2 linked regions of the Rattus norvegicus genome follow. The protein of the gene in region 1 purifies or fractionates together with the protein of each later gene. This does not show direct contact. Links are inferred from orthologs where the notes say so. Each region holds a gene or a part of one and is shown in the gene's direction. Other genes may lie near its edges.

Region 1 (8,053 bases):
TCACTTCTAGTTGTGGGTTGGTGGCTATGAGGGGAAAGGTCATGTGGCTCCACCCCCACCCCAACCTACTTCCCAAAGCAGTTGTGAAGATGGTGCTGGTGTCCCCTCCCTCCCTCCCTCCGCTCCCCTCCCCGCGATGGTGCTCATGTTTGGCAGGCCTGTTTCTGTGCACCACAGCTCACTAAGGTGCTGCAGAACAGGGAGCCGAAACAAAAGCTAGCAAACCCCAGGCTTGGAACAAAACCTTGAGTGAACACTGTACGCACGGCCCACTATCCTGGCAGCTGCTTCAGCAGTCGCTGCCTCCACCTTACTTGAGAGTTAGGGGACAGACACTGCATGTTCATGGCCCAGTGGCCACAGGTGCTCCAGGCACAGCTGCAAGTCCTCTCCTGAGCCCGTAAGAAAGGGACCCACAGTAAACTGACCATGCTGCATGGTGGCCCCAGGCACTCTGGGGCTGATGGTCCTAGTATAAGATAAGGCTGCCTCAGACGTCCTTGCCAACCCAAGGTTGCTGCAGGGCTTTGAGCTCAGGAACTGATAGCAAGCCCTACTCCCACGCTAGCCCAGAGGAACACACCTCCCAGTTCCCACCCTCAACCTACACAGCTCTTTTGACAGCCTGGCCTGTTTGTAACTTGATGCAGCATCGCTCTGCCTTGTAATGACCTCTGTACTTAACGGGTGCGTTGTTCTCTTCCCTTGGTCTCCCCAAGGCATCTCACACATTGTTGCTGCCTCCAGACTATGATAAATAAAGCCGTTTCCACTTGAACCCTTCAGTGCAGTCTTCTTTGCCTGTTGTCTGACCTGGACTAGAAGAGCAGCAAGCCTATCTCCTGTGAGGCTGACAGTGACACTTTGGGAGGACATAGTCTCACTTAAGAATCCAATCCTGGGGTTGGGGATTTAGCTCAGCGGTAGAGTGCTTGCCTAGCAAACGCAAGGCCCTGGGTTCAGTCCCCAGCTCCGGAAAAAAAAAAAGAAAGAAAAAAAAAAAGAATCCAATCCTGACTAAGACAATGTTTAGAAAGCCAGGACTTATGTGTCCCTTACCACTTGGGCAGAACACTGCCTTTCCGCGTCAGGGCACCTAGGACTCCCACTTATATGTGTATGACCCGGAAAGCCCGTATCTCCCCATTAAGCATATCCAGCCCAGGATCAGGCACATGGAAAACAAAGGCTTGTTCGCCCCAAAATCCTGCCTGTAGCTGCACCTGCACTTCTGCGTGTTCCACCAACCCACCTTTCCTGGTTGTTTTGTTTTTCCAGACAGGGTTTCTCTCTCTAGCCCTGGCTGTCTTGGAAAGAGCCTCTTCTCTCTGCCCCCTAAATAGTGCCCACCAGCAATGTCTCCCTCCTTTTTCTCACTCCAATGTGATTCACAAAAGAGGTACCTTTATTAAAGAGTGGGCTCAGCACTGAAGGCCAGCACCAACGCCTGCTCTATCAGCAGGAGTGGGGTTCACAGCTTTAGCATTATACATTCATCTGGCCATGGACAGGGGCGCTGTCCCTGGATGTGCACAGTCAAAGGGTGCCAGCAGGGAGATGGCAGGGAGAGCAAGGACCACAGACCCTGCCTACCTCCTCTGGACCTTTGAACAGATGTATTTAAACCTATTTAAAAAACAAAACTTCCCAGGGTAGCCGGGGGCCCAGAGGGGGTCAGTCCAACACATGTAGCTGGGAGCCAATGCAAGAAGCATCCTTAGGCAGGCTACTCAGCTGGAACCTGGCCTCCTCGGAGATGCCGAACTGCTCCAGCGGGTCCTGTGGAATGCACAGTGATTGTGAGCAGGGCCAGGGAAAACTGCCCGGTCCCTCCAGCCCCACACACCTTGCCGGTCATCTTCCTGATCTCATTCCTGTAGAAGATGAGGCTCCGTCTCATGTATTCGTAGCTGGAGGAAAGGGCTGGGCTCACTGGTCACATTCCCCCATGTTTCCACCCAGCTCCCAGCAGTCCCTAAAGCCCCACCTGGCCCGCTGCAGAGCCTCCATCCATTCCTGGCACTGCTCTTGGCTACAGCATTCAAAGTGATATTTCCTGCTGAGGTCTTCCACGAAGCCTGGAAAGGGATAAAGGAAAGACGCCACCTCTTGTCACTGTCAGGTTGGTCTATATCCTGCTGGCCCCAAGTCCCAGCTTCTTCTCAACAGGGTTTCAAACTGAACTTGTTTCAAACTTGTTCTAACACCAAGCCATCTTCTGCCTGTCACAGGCTGAAGAATCCTGACCTCTGAACTCACAAATAGGGGACCCACTGGGAAGTTGGATTATTGGGAATGTAATTGGCTAAGTAAGGTCATTCCCAAAATAAATGGGAATAGGACAGGGCAGATGGCTCAGTGGTTAAAGTGCCTCATGTAATCGTGAGGCCCTGAGTTCAAGCCCCAGCAGTGCACGTCAAAGAGCAGAGTGCAACTCCGTGCTGAAGAGACCGATTTGCTGGCCGGTCAATATAGCTTAAAAACAAGTCCGGGTTGGGACAGTGAGGTGGCCAAGCAGGTAGGAGCCTGCTGACAAGCCTAATGACCAGTGTTTTATGTTGGAGGCCTACACAGTGGAAGATGAAATCCAACTACACAAGTTTTCCGCTGGCCTTTCTGGCATACTCACACCCAGAAACCCATGCGTGCACATGTACAAGAAGCAGAAAATAGGGGTACAGATGGAGAACCCCACTGGATGACAGAGGTAGACACGATGGACAAATCTCTACAAGGTACGCAGCAGAAAGACCTCTCCAGAGGTGAAGGCTGAGACAGGTGTCCTTCAAGGCCTCAAAGCCCTGCCCGCACACTCACTCCCACGGCAGAGACTGCTTCAGTTATACACACCAAGTTCACAGACTGCACCTCTCTCGGCCGTAAACCGGCAGAGGATCGGGGAAGAAACTAAGATGAGAACCTGACCCAGTGGTCACTCTGAGTGACAGCTGGGACAGTCATGGGCCACCAGCGGACGCGAGATCCAGGACAAATGGAGATTCCTAAGGGAGTAAAAAGGATCGCGTGCGCGGAGCAGAGTCCGGGGTGGAAAGTGGGGAACAGAACACTTACTGATGGAGAAGCCTCCCGGCTCTTCCTGGGCCACTCTGCAGCGCTCCAGCAACAGGGCTCCGAGGGGCTGCGCGAGACACGGCCATGAGCACCGGCCTCTGGGCCGCGCGGGTCCCCCGCGCCCCCCACACCCCTACCTCGGCCTCGTCCGGGCGGAAGTAAAAGAGGAAGTTGACCACCAGCTTCACCAGCCGCCTCTTGGCCACTGCAGGCAGAGGGCGGTGTCAGCGCGCAACTGCTGTCATCCGCCCACCGGGGAACCCCGCGGCCCGCCCAAGTGTCCCAGCCCCGGCCCGGACCAGCTCACCGCTGCCCTTCTTGGGGCCCCGCATGCCCAGCTCGGCCGCCATCTCTGCCGGCTGCCGGGACAGCGCTTGCAACTCTTTCTCGTTGTACCGCATCTCGCCGCCCGGATCCGCGCGAACCAAAACGCGCCCTGCCTCTCGGCCGCCGTCCTGCCCGAAGCCGCTACTAGCGCCACAAAAGTCTCAGGAAGCGACCTCGTAAGTCCCAACGGTGCTACTGCGCCTGCGCGTTGTTGGGCGTGTTGCGTGACGCTAGTTGGTGGGTCAGCACAGTAGAACAAGGAGTCGGACGGGAAGGAAATCGCCCGTCCTTAAATAACCGTCAGACACACTGAACGTGGGGTGTAAATTTAGACTCATAGCACCTCACGATACGCGAAGCTCGTTCCCGGGCCTGTGAACCCTGAGGTTTAAGTCCTGTCGCGATAGTCAGCGCCAACAGAGTTAGGGCGGAGCAAGAATTCGTAGACAATGCAGTGCGCACGCGTACTCCGTGTCCCGGCGCTCTTTTTTTTTTCTCCCGCCTCCCGTAGGGGGAGTCCATTCGCTGGGCATGCGCACACATGAAACTCCGCCTTCCTTGCCCCCGGAAGTGATTGCTCAAGCGGTCGTGCGCATGCGCACAACAAAATCGCGGCATTCGGGGAGGTTAAGCCCAGTTACCGAGGCCTTGGTGTTGGTAAGGAACTACGCGGTTTGTCGGTGGCGGCTGCCCCGTCTGTGGGTCTTGAAAGTAGGAGCGAGAGCGTGGGGCCTGGCGGGGCAGCGGCCGCCCTTTCCCCTTAGGCGTGGCGCACCCTCGCCCTAAGAGCGCGGTCTCGCGAGGTCCTTTGAGTCGTGGCGTGATCGCGGACTTTTGTGGCGGTTCCGTGGCCTCTAGGGTGGTTCGGGTTCTTGGAATGTCATTTAACCTGCTTGTTTGCCTCAGTTTCCCTCGCCGTTAGTCAGGGCCATGGCGACTACTGCTCCTGTCCACTGTAGTAGGTCTGTTGCTCGGATTAAAAGATAACGGTATATGCATTTAAAAGTGATTTGCGGGGTTGGGGATTTAGCTCAGTGGTAGAGCGCTTGCCTAGCAAGCGCAAGGCCCTGAGTTCGGTCCCCAGCTCCGAAAAATAGAAAAAAGAAAAAAAAAGTGATTTGCCTTTAGACCAGGCAGGCCTTCTCCCAGACCGTGACCTTAACATATACTACTCTTCTGTTTCTATTGATCGTTCATCGGTAATCTTAGAGTAGTCCGTGAGGTCGCACGGCTCCCAACCATTCATCCTGGTCTCTTGTCCCAGGCTTCACTTGTGAGTCCATCCAGTCATCGGCACAATTTTACTTTATTTCAGACAGCGTCTCACGGCATAACTGAGGCTGACCTGGAACCCTGTGTGGACTAGGCCGATTTCGAGCTCACATACACTCCCATACCTCTGCCTCCCGCATACTGAGATTTACAGCGTGTGCCACTACACTTGACTGTTTTGTTTTAAGGAAGGTTTATTTTGACTGATAGTATGAAGGTGCAGTCCACTATGGTGGTCGTGTTACAGCCATAGTCAGGAAGCAGATAAAAGCTGGTATTGGAATCCCTTTCCCGTGTTTTTAAAGATTTTTTTTCCAAATGTGTGTCCATGTGGAGCTTCATGTGTGAGTATGATAACGTCAAGTCCAGGAGAGACTGTCAGGTTCCCTGGAGCTGGAGTTTCTGGTGGTTGTGATCTGCCACTAAGTCATCTTGCCAGCCTACCCAGCACCCTTTTGTCTTTTATTTGAGACAGATCTCACTGCACAGCCCAGTTTGGTCTCAAATTATACCCATCATCTTTCTACCTTGGCCTCTAAGGGAGCTGGAAGGAAATGTATACACTGCCATGCCCCATGTTTTCTGTTTCCTGAGGTTGGGAACTGTTGGTGGGCTGAGGCGGTAGTTCATTGGTGAGCGTTTGCAAAACTTTGTGCTCCATCCACTGGGCCAAGCAGTATGCTCACCCAGGCCAGTTTTATTCTGCTTTCCTTCCAAAGCTGATGAACTACATTTCTGCAGTGGATATCCATGCACTCAACCTCAAGCATGCCCCCCCAGGGGACCCAGTGCATGCTGGACAAGTGTTCTCCTTGAGTGGCACCGTCAAGTCTGTGGATGGACACCCAGCCTCCCTGGGGAGGCCAGCCACAGAGTCCTATGTTCTCAAGAGTTGTCTTTGCCTGAGCCTGGAGTGGTTTTCCATCCTGCTGCTGCTGCTTGTGGGTGCCCCTAACTCTGAGAAGCCAATTGATTCTCCCACCGTTTGGCTGTACTCTCGTGTCTGGCCAGCTTCATCTCTGGGAGTGTGTCTGTTGGTAGCTCTGGATGATGTAGACGATGCCCTTCTCAGTCTTTGGCTGAGTACAAAACATCTAATAGGCTGCTCCTGTCCCGCCACTTCAGTGTACACCTCTCAAGCCGTCCCTCTCAGCACCTAGAGCATCCTGTATCCTTTGCCTTCTGGCCTCTTCCTCCTTGACAGCCAGTGCTGTCAGTGGCCTGTCAGCCTTGAGCACACTCTAGTGACATTGTAGTAACTGGGTACCTGCCCTCAAGGTTCTTGGTCACATTTGTAGAGCCCCTTGTGCTATGGGAGGCACCAGTGATGATGACAAGAGCTGTCTCTACTTGTCTCCTGGTCGCTGGCCCTGGGTTTACTGTAGGTTTACCAGTAGACTGAGTAGTCTTAAGTGTTCTGCCTCAGGTAACACTGTCTGGAGGCTTTGGCTGAGCCTCCAAGGTGAGACCCTTGGTATCGAGCATTCCTTGTGTCAGGCAGAGGAGGGTGTGTCCTCTAATGCCAGCAGAGGTAGGCAGAGGCCAGCCTAATGTGTGAGGAGAGTTCTAAGATAGCCATGACTACGTAGAGACTCCTCCCTCAATAATAACAACAACAATAATAGTAATCATATGTTACATCAGGGAGAGGCGGCTCAATGGTAGTCACAGCACTTGGGAGGATCAGGAGGTCAGAGAAGGGATGGCTTGCATGCTGGGCCATCCCGCGGTCCTAGCATCATCAGCAGGGTTCTAAGCCTTAGTCTTCCTTGCTCCCCAGGTTTCTCCTGTCCCCTAAAGTACCCAGGCCTGCATCATGGACTTTCAGCACCGACCTGGAGGCAAAACTGGGAGTGGGGGCGTGGCCTCCTCCTCAGAGAGCAACCGGGATCGAAGAGAGCGCCTGCGGCAACTGGCCCTGGAAACCATCGACATCAATAAGGTGGGGGAGGGAGAGTCTCCAGGCCTGCAGAGCCCTCACCTTGCCCACCTTGGTCCTTGGGTCCCGGGGCCAGGCTGTGCGGTCTCACGGTACATTTCTTCACTCCCAGGACCCGTATTTCATGAAGAACCACCTGGGATCCTATGAGTGCAAACTCTGCTTGACTCTGCATAACAATGAGGTACCTGCCCACCAGACTTCCACCATTCTGCACTGGCCTGGTGACACTGGTCGGCCTTGGACCTGTCACCTGGAGCCAACCACTCCCTTAGTATTGCTCTGGTTTCCTTGAATTCCTTTTTTTCTTATCCCTGGGGGTCAGAGCTCAGCCTAGGGCTTAGCCATGCTGGGTAAGAAGTGAACTTCATCCCTGGTCAGTCCTTGAGGCAGCACTGACTAGCCTGGGGCTCACTGTACTCCTGATGCCCCTGCCTCTGTCCCTGCCGGCCCTCTAACATAACAACACAGGTTGGCTGGGCACCAGCTACTCCTTATCCTTTTCCTCTGACTGTTTGCTCTGTGAATGCCTTGCAAATAGTAATGGATGCCTCTGCACTCTGAGGGCTCAGGGAGAGGTGTGGCTGCTGACTCTTTCTGGGGGGAGAGGACTCTGGGAGTTGCCTCCCCACCCCTCTCACTGGAGGACCAGATCAACAGTGGATGGAACACATTTGGCTGTGTTGACAATGGGGTGGTGATGAGCAGTGCCCTAGGCCCCACACCTCTGTTGGGAGCTCCTTCAAACCGCTGCCCATCCCCGGCGGTGGGCTCAGCACTGAAGACTGACGGTGTTGCTCTACCCCTACTCAGAGGAATCTCTGGGCAGGGATGGGTGCAGTAACAAGTCACAAGTCTCCCAAGTGCAGCCACAGCTACTGTAAGGCCCCGCAGGCTCCCCAGGGCTACCATTACAGCTGCTCTGCGAGGTGCCGGTCCTGCCCGCCCCACCCTCAGCTGCCTGTCTTCTTTCTCTTTGCAGGGGAGCTACCTGGCCCATACCCAAGGGAAGAAACATCAGACTAACTTGTGAGCGCTCACAGCCCTGGTACCCCAGTACCACAACGCTGCTACTCAGGAGGGGACCCTTCACTTGAGCTGTGTGGATGGGGAGGGAAGGGGACAGGTGGCCTGCATCTACATTCTCAGCCCCACCCCCACCCTGTGTTTCAGCCTGACTGTCTCAGTACAGAGCAGATGGCCAAGGGGCAAGGACAGTGGTGGTGCCACATTGTCACCTATCCTGCCCTGCTTGGTGTATCCCAGGGCTGAACCACCCAATCTTCTTGAACTCAGAGAGCAGGGGCTCTGGCACCTGGGTGCTTGGCCTTGGTGACTGGTGGAGGGGCCAAGCACCTGCGTCTGTTCACAGGGCCCGGCGAGCTGCCAAGGAGGCCAAAGAAGCCCCCGCCCAGCCTGCACCAGAGAAGGTCAAGGTGGAGG
Region 2 (7,390 bases), on another chromosome or scaffold:
TGAAAAAATGTTACATATTTTCAATAATAAGGATTTTTTTTTTAACTCTCAAAATGGTGTGGGTATTGTGGGAATTGTTTATATTATAAGCTCACAGTGTTTTCTGTGTAGTGAGTTCAGTTTTCTTGATAGAAAGACTGGATCAAGAAGAAGGTAAGTGATTCAAGTGAAGACCATAGCCTTGTTCTGTGGTTAAGCTGGGTGTGGTAGCCGATGCATCCTGTTCCAGCGCTCAGGAGGCCAGGGCAGATTCAGGACAGACAGAAACAGAGATTCTACCTCAAAACAAAAAAACAGAAACTAAAGAAACAAAAGAATTTTGACGTTAAGCATGTTCTAATGATCATGATTTTAAACAGGTTTTTGTTTTTTATGGTTGTTATTGTTTTGGTGGTTGGGGTGTGTGTGCGTGTGCGTGCGTGCGTGTGTGTTTCAGTAATAGGAATTGAACACAACCCTTGAATGCCAGACAAGTGTTGATCTATATGCCCAGACCTGTTTCTTTTTCTCCAGCTTGTTTTTTGAGATTGTGTCTTGTTAAGTTACCCAGGTTAGATTTAAAACTTGCCATCTTTCTGCTTTAACCACCTAGTTAAATTACAAGCCTATACTATACCACTAGGCACAGCTACATTTTAATTTTCTATAATAGCACATACTGTGTTTTCAGAACTCAAACTGGGTAAAAACTCTATTTTTTTTTTTAAGTTTATAGTTTTTAAAATATTATTAACAACTTCTTAGATCCACGCCGAGTGCAAGCGTTTTGGGAAAGCATATAATCTTCGATCAGTGGCAGTATATGGAGGAGGGAGCATGTGGGAGCAGGCCAAGGCCCTTCAGGAAGGGGCAGAGATTGTTGTGTGTACCCCGGTAAGTATATCTTGTCTTCAGATGTGTTGTCTGTCTTTCCTGATAGAGAAAGCATGATTGCTCTTGAGGGACTCCCTCTAAATATGGGAGAGCTGGGCAAGGATATCCTGTGAGGCGCCAGCCTTTGCTCTCGTTCATTTTGATTGGCTGACTGAACAGCAGTCTGGTTATAATGTCCATGACTAATGTATCAGCAGCTCTAAGTTCCTATTTTAAACTGGGTTTCTTAGGCTCTCTTAAAAGCTGGGTCTATGGTTACCAAGAACATTAGGAACCATAGAGATGCTCAGATAATGGTTAGACCTGCCCAGGGGATGTAGGGTAGGCATAAAATTCATCCATAAGATTTTAAATCTTTTCAGAGTACATTACAAGAAAGGTCCTGACCCATTTGCCCATAGACTTTAAGCTAGAATTAATGTAAAAGAAGAACTTGAAGTTTTCAGAATTCTAGTCTCACTTAGTATGGTGGTGCCTGCCTGTAGTCCCAGCACTTAGAGGTAGCAGTCAGACCTCTGTGAGCCTCAGACTATCTGTGAACAGTACCCAAAAGTGCTTTTTCTACTCTCTGGGTTTGGTATAGAAAGACTGTCATATCATTTTGGTTCAAGACCAAAGAATTGACACTTTTCCAGGAGTATATCTAAAGAGTGTCTTTGAATGATTTGATTATACTTACTACTCATTTTGTGACTCTCCCAGGGTCGGCTGATTGATCATGTGAAGAAAAAAGCTACCAATCTTCAAAGAGTCTCTTACCTTGTGTTTGATGAAGCTGATCGAATGTTCGACATGGGGTTTGGTATGCCTTGAGTATTAGTTTCTCCTGTCCCTAGTCTTAAGTTAGTTTTTTCCGTATCTTTGTAGAGTTAACCAGTACTTTTCGTCATGAAAGAAGTTAAAAACTCTTCGGGGTTTCAAATAAAGGGATAGGCCAAGCCATAAACCATTTGTAGTTTTCTGAAGAGAAGTGTGCTAGTCTTGACTGTGTTGAAAAAATTTGCACGTATCTTCAGAAAGAAGGAATGTTTTCTGTTCTTCACTTTCACTTGCAGGCCTTTGAAGATTAAAGTTGGTTAAAGTCTATATTCCTATGGATAGGTGAATACTGAATCATCCAGGGTCCTTTTCTTAACTGAGCTATACAAATTTCTAAATAACCACTATCTACCCAGTTCAGTTATGTTGGGTGTTTTGAAATTTCATACTGAATGGTGTCTAGGAGTTTCAAGGCTTTTTTAATTCGTGAAAGTTCTTGGATTTTACTAAAGTGAATTTTCACACCTGTCTTAAGTACATTACAGTAGTGTGTTGATAACTGTTCTGTTTCTTTCAGAGTATCAGGTTCGGTCCATAGCAAGTCATGTCCGTCCTGACAGACAAAGTATGTATGAAGCAGCTGTATGCTATCTCTGTATTCGAAGTGAACCCTGATCCTTTATAAGTACTCATTGCTATAGAAGCAAAAATTGCTATTTATGTACTGACGAGTGCTGCAAAGAAGAGAGTTAATGACATTTATTTGACCTAGAAAAGACCTTAGACATCATCAGGTGTCTTGTTGTTGCCTCTGGTATCGAACCTATGGCTTCATGTACGTTAGACAAACACTCTACCTCTCTGAGCTATATATGTATATCCAACCTCCTTTTTAACCTTGTTTTTTAGGTAGAGTCTTGCTAAGATGACTAGGCTGTCCTTGAACTCACTATAGCCCAGTCGGCTGTAAACTTGCAGTACTCCTTCATGCTTCCTCCTCCAAATAGCTGGGATTATGGGTTCATGACACCAGGCCCAGCACACTGTTCACTTTTTATTGGGACTAAGACTGAACTTAAATAATTTCCTGCAGTATAAATCTGATTCAAAGTTAAGTCTTTTCTTAAACTATTATGGCAACTCATTCATTTCTTGTTTGAAAATGAAGTTAAATCATTTTTATTTAGTGAATCAGTTACATTACAGAAGCTTAAAGAATGAATTCAGTAAAAAAATGATTTTTAACAGAATTTGCTTTATCTTTTTTAGCTCTCTTATTCAGTGCAACTTTTCGGAAAAAGATTGAAAAATTGGCCAGAGACATCTTGATTGATCCTATCCGAGTGGTACAAGGAGACATCGGAGAGGTAATCCTGCAGAAGGCAGGGAGGGTCCTGGGATTGATTTGTCATAAGGACGTGGAGTTTAGTTCTTAAGGAATGATTGCTTTGTTGTTGGATTCTTGGTTTTTGCTTTGCTTTGAGATAGGATTTCTCTATAGCCCTGGATGCCCTGGAACTAGCTCTGTAGATAAGCACTCTGCCTCCCAAGCGCTGGGCGTAAAAGCAGGCGCTGCCGTACCGGCTCTTCAGGAGTGACTTAAGAATTACAGCGTTACACTTAAGTATGAAGCAACTTGGTTAGATTTAGTTTATTTTACTATTTTTAAAATGATTTGTTTATTTTTATTTTACGTGTGTTGGTGTTCTGCCTGCTTGTATGTGTGTGACAGTATTGGGTCCTCTGGAACTAGAGTTACAGATAGTTGTGAGCTGCTATGTGGATGCTGGGAATTGAACCCCTGACTTTTGGAAGAGCAGCTAGTGTTCTTAAAGGCTAAGTCATCTATCTCTCCAGCCCCTGGATTTGTTTTAAGATATACACGTTAAGGGAATCGTGCAAACAAGAGGGGCACAGACAAGATGATTCATAGAAGGGTATATGGGATTTTTTTTTTTTTTTTTTTTTTTTTTTGAGACAAGGTCTCACTATGTAGCTCTCTCTGGCTGTCCTGGAACTCACTGTGTGTAGACTGGCCTTGAACTCAGAAATATCCCTGTTTCTGCCTACTGAGTGTTGGGACTAAAGGCGTGAAACACCAGCTGGCTTTTTCCACATGTTTTAAAGTTTTAAAAGAGCTGGGTAGCAGTGGCACACTTCTTGAATCCCGGCTCAAGCAGCAGAGGCAGGTGGCCAACCTGGTCTACATAGTGAGCTCCAGGACAGCCAGAGATACTACACTGAGAAGCCCTGTCTCACAAACGATCTTCCTGGAAGCCTCAGGAAATTAGAACAGAACAGACATTCACTGACTGTTAAAGCAGACTACACAGGGTGGCATGGAATCCCTGCATATGCCCTTACGCGGTGATTTCTCTGAGTTGGAATTTGGAATTCAGTTAAGGTTGTTAATTCCTTGGGGCCAGTAGATGGCTCAGCCAGTTGTGCTTGCCTCTAAACCTGAATTCAATCCTCATTTCACGTGGTCAAAGGTGAAAACTGATTTCTGTAAATTATTCTTTGACCTTCACACGTGTTCCTTAGCACATGGAGGCCAGAAACTTTTACTTTTTTTTTTTTAATGTAAATGTCTTGGTTTTTGTTGCTGTGATAAATACCATGACCAAAAACAACTAGGGAAGGAAAGGGTTTATTTTAGTGTACAATCGAGTGAAGAGAAGTCAGGACCTGAAACCCAGGCCATGGAGAAAGGAACACTGTTCCTTGACCTGCTCCCATGACTTGCTCAGCCTATTTTCTTATACAACCCAGGACCACCTACTCCAAGATGTTGTTACCACCTCCAGTAGGCTGGACTCTCCCTCTCAATTAACTAAGAAAATACTCCACAGATTCCCTACAGTAATTTAGTCAATGGAGGTGCCTCTTTTGTGTCAATTTGATAAAAATCCAACTAGGACAATAGAGTTTTTAACACATAACTACAAATATTCAGGGGATACAGTGTGGCAGTTTAATACATGTATGTAATGTGTAATTACATACATGTATTAAATATCTAACACCTCCAATAGTTATCCTTTCTTGGTGTTGGAAACAGATCTTTATTGAAATACATATTTATTAGTCAACCATATCTACAACTTTTCATGATTATTATTAAAGTTTCTGAGTGGTAAGCACCTTTAAATGTCGGGGTCTTAATTGTTAATGTACTTACATATAAATTGTGTTTGACAGCGAGCGGGCAGGCCCCTGAAAAGTACTTCCCAGGGAATGATAAAAATAGGTATATAACAGCCATTACAGATTGTTTTGGCATACAAATTAGAAATGAACATACCAGGGGGAGTTGGTGAGCAAGGTGCTTTAAAGGAATAGTAAGTTTTAAGCTTACTAAGTAAGTAAGTAACTTAAGTAAGTAAGGATTTGACATACTTAAGGAAACCCCAAAAATAAGAGGGTAATCCCATGCAGGTAGAAAATATAATACCTAGTCTTTGATGTCTCCTATGGCACCAGTCATGATTGGTTGTTTTATTTCCTCTTAGGCAAATGAAGACGTAACACAGATTGTGGAGATTCTCCATTCTGGACCTAGTAAATGGAACTGGCTCACTCGGCGTCTGGTAGAGTTTACTTCTTCCGGGAGTGTCCTCTTGTTTGTTACCAAGAAAGCCAACGCTGAAGAACTGGCCAATAACCTTAAGCAGGAGGGTCATAATCTTGGTCTGCTCCATGGGGACATGGATCAGAGTGAAAGAAACAAGGTCATTTTAGATTTTAAGAAAAAAGACATCCCCGTCCTGGTGGCCACTGACGTTGCAGGTAAGAGTACAAATTTCATAACCCGAGCCTTTATTTTATGGCTGTTGCCCTTCCCTGTAATGAGACCTATATAGAGCAGTGGCTCTGTGGCCACCTTTACTTACTGTTCTTGGTCATCAGAGGATGCCTTGGGGAAAACAGTTATGCCCTCATGTTCACTGCAATGTGTATCTTAAGTTAGTAATATAAGTTTGGCTTTACCCTGCTAAGGTTAGCAGCTGCCCTTAAAAACTAGTTTTTTGGGGCTGGAGAGATGGCTCAGGGGTTAAGAGCACTGACAGTTCTTCCAGAGGTCCTGAGTTCAATCCCCAGCAACCACATGGTGGTTCACAACCATCTATAATAAGATCTGATGCCCTCTTCTGGTGTATCTGAAGACAGCTACAGTGTACTCATATACATAAAATAAATAAACCTTTTTAAAAAAAAAAGCTAGTTTTTTGGACCTGCGAGATGGTTCACTGGGTACTTGCTAACCAGCCCTGACAGCCTGAGCTTGGTACTCAAGACTCAGATATGGTGGAACGAGAAAACCTGACCCCACAAGTTGTTTTCTATCCTCTATACATAAGCTGTGGTGTATGCATGTATGCATGCATACATGCATACATACACACACACACATGCACACACAGGTTCTGGGTACTGAACTCAGGTCCTCGTGTAAACACAATACTAACTGAATTACAGCCCTTAGAGGACTAACGTATGGGGTTTGGGGGGGCTTATTTTAGTTTGTTTGTTTGTTTGGGGGTTTGTTTTGGTGGGTTTTGTTTTTGTTTTGTTTTGTTTCGTTTTACTTTTCAAGACAGGATTTCTCTATGTAGCCCTTGCTGTCCTGGAACTCACTCTGTAGACCAGGCTGGCCTCAAACTCAAGAGATTCACCCGCCTCTGCCCCCTGAGCACTGGGACTGAAGGTGTGCAGCACCCTGCCTGGTTTGTATTTTTGAGATGAATTCTTATGATAGCTCAAGTGACCTTGAACTCCAATCCCGCCTGCATCTTTCAAGTATTGGGATTGCAGGTATGATTCCAGTAAAATTATTCACAGGATTTTTTTTAATATTCATGTTACTCCCAATAGAGTGAACTACTTTTTATTCTTGGCTTCATATCCATGAGCTTGCCTAGATATGGGAAATGCACAATCTTATAAATCTAGCATTTCTAGTTAATTCATTTTTTATTTTTTCTTAAATATAGATAAAAAGTAAAAGAATCTCAATACTTTCTATTTCAGCCCGTGGTCTGGATATTCCTTCAATTAAGACAGTCATTAACTATGATGTTGCACGAGACATTGATACCCATACTCATAGGATTGGCCGAACAGGAAGAGCTGGTGAGAAGGGTGTAGCCTATACCTTACTGACCCCAAAGGACAGCAATTTTGCTGGTGACCTTGTACGGAACCTGGAAGGAGCCAACCAACATGTTTCTAAGGAACTCTTAGATCTCGCAATGCAGGTAAGAGTTAGGCACTTAAAGTTAATAGGAATAATACAGCCGAGTAAGAAAGTTTATCAGGTAAGAGAGGGAGGTAACAGAGGAGCTTGAAGGAAAATGGCCAGAAAGGGCTAGTTACTATGTAGACTGGTACCATGGGATGTCACAATTCATGTGTATGTTCTCTCTGTACTTTCTGTTGAAAAGCTGCTCCTTTCTTTAGGTAAAATCAATTCTTTGGTTTCTCCTTGCTTAGTCCATAGCACACTTATGAGTACATTTAATCTCAGAAGATGCCCACTATTCTTGCCCATTCCTTTCCCCCAGGCTTCTCTTTTTGAGGGCTAAAAATATTTGTGTGTTTATTAAGGAAACAATTGTGTGGTGATTGTTTGTTTTATTTGTTTTTCGTTTTTGCTACTAGTGATTAAATCGAGGGTTTTTATGCTTGCTAGGCAAGTGCTCTACTATTGAACTACACTCTGTGATAGTGGGCTTTAAGCATTTCTGACATATTGACA

Evidence for each region. The genes of interacting proteins can lie anywhere in the genome.
Region 2: the proteins of Sf3a2 (region 1) and Ddx42 purify together in Homo sapiens (affinity purification with mass spectrometry; 3 studies listed by BioGRID and IntAct, with this or other methods). This does not show direct contact. The link is inferred for Rattus norvegicus from reciprocal best matches to the Homo sapiens genes SF3A2 and DDX42.

What each region holds. Positions count from the first base shown.
Region 1 is NC_086025.1:9,562,164-9,570,216, reverse strand, and holds the start of Sf3a2 (splicing factor 3A subunit 2), read left to right. Parts: upstream 1-4,017; 5' UTR 4,018-4,056; intron 4,057-6,451; 5' UTR 6,452-6,487; coding exon 6,488-6,613; intron 6,614-6,722; coding exon 6,723-6,794; intron 6,795-7,592; coding exon 7,593-7,639; intron 7,640-7,982; coding exon 7,983-8,053. Other genes in the region: Plekhj1 (pleckstrin homology domain-containing family J member 1), read right to left, coding at 1,847-1,910, 1,988-2,078, 3,073-3,139, 3,380-3,629, 3,743-3,921. UniProt on the Homo sapiens protein: Component of the 17S U2 SnRNP complex of the spliceosome, a large ribonucleoprotein complex that removes introns from transcribed pre-mRNAs.
Region 2 is NC_086028.1:91,668,349-91,675,738, forward strand, and holds part of Ddx42 (ATP-dependent RNA helicase DDX42), read left to right. Parts: intron 1-744; coding exon 745-873; intron 874-1,575; coding exon 1,576-1,675; intron 1,676-2,209; coding exon 2,210-2,257; intron 2,258-2,901; coding exon 2,902-2,999; intron 3,000-5,144; coding exon 5,145-5,421; intron 5,422-6,663; coding exon 6,664-6,890; intron 6,891-7,390. UniProt on the Homo sapiens protein: ATP-dependent RNA helicase that binds to partially double-stranded RNAs (dsRNAs) in order to unwind RNA secondary structures. Unwinding is promoted in the presence of single-strand binding proteins.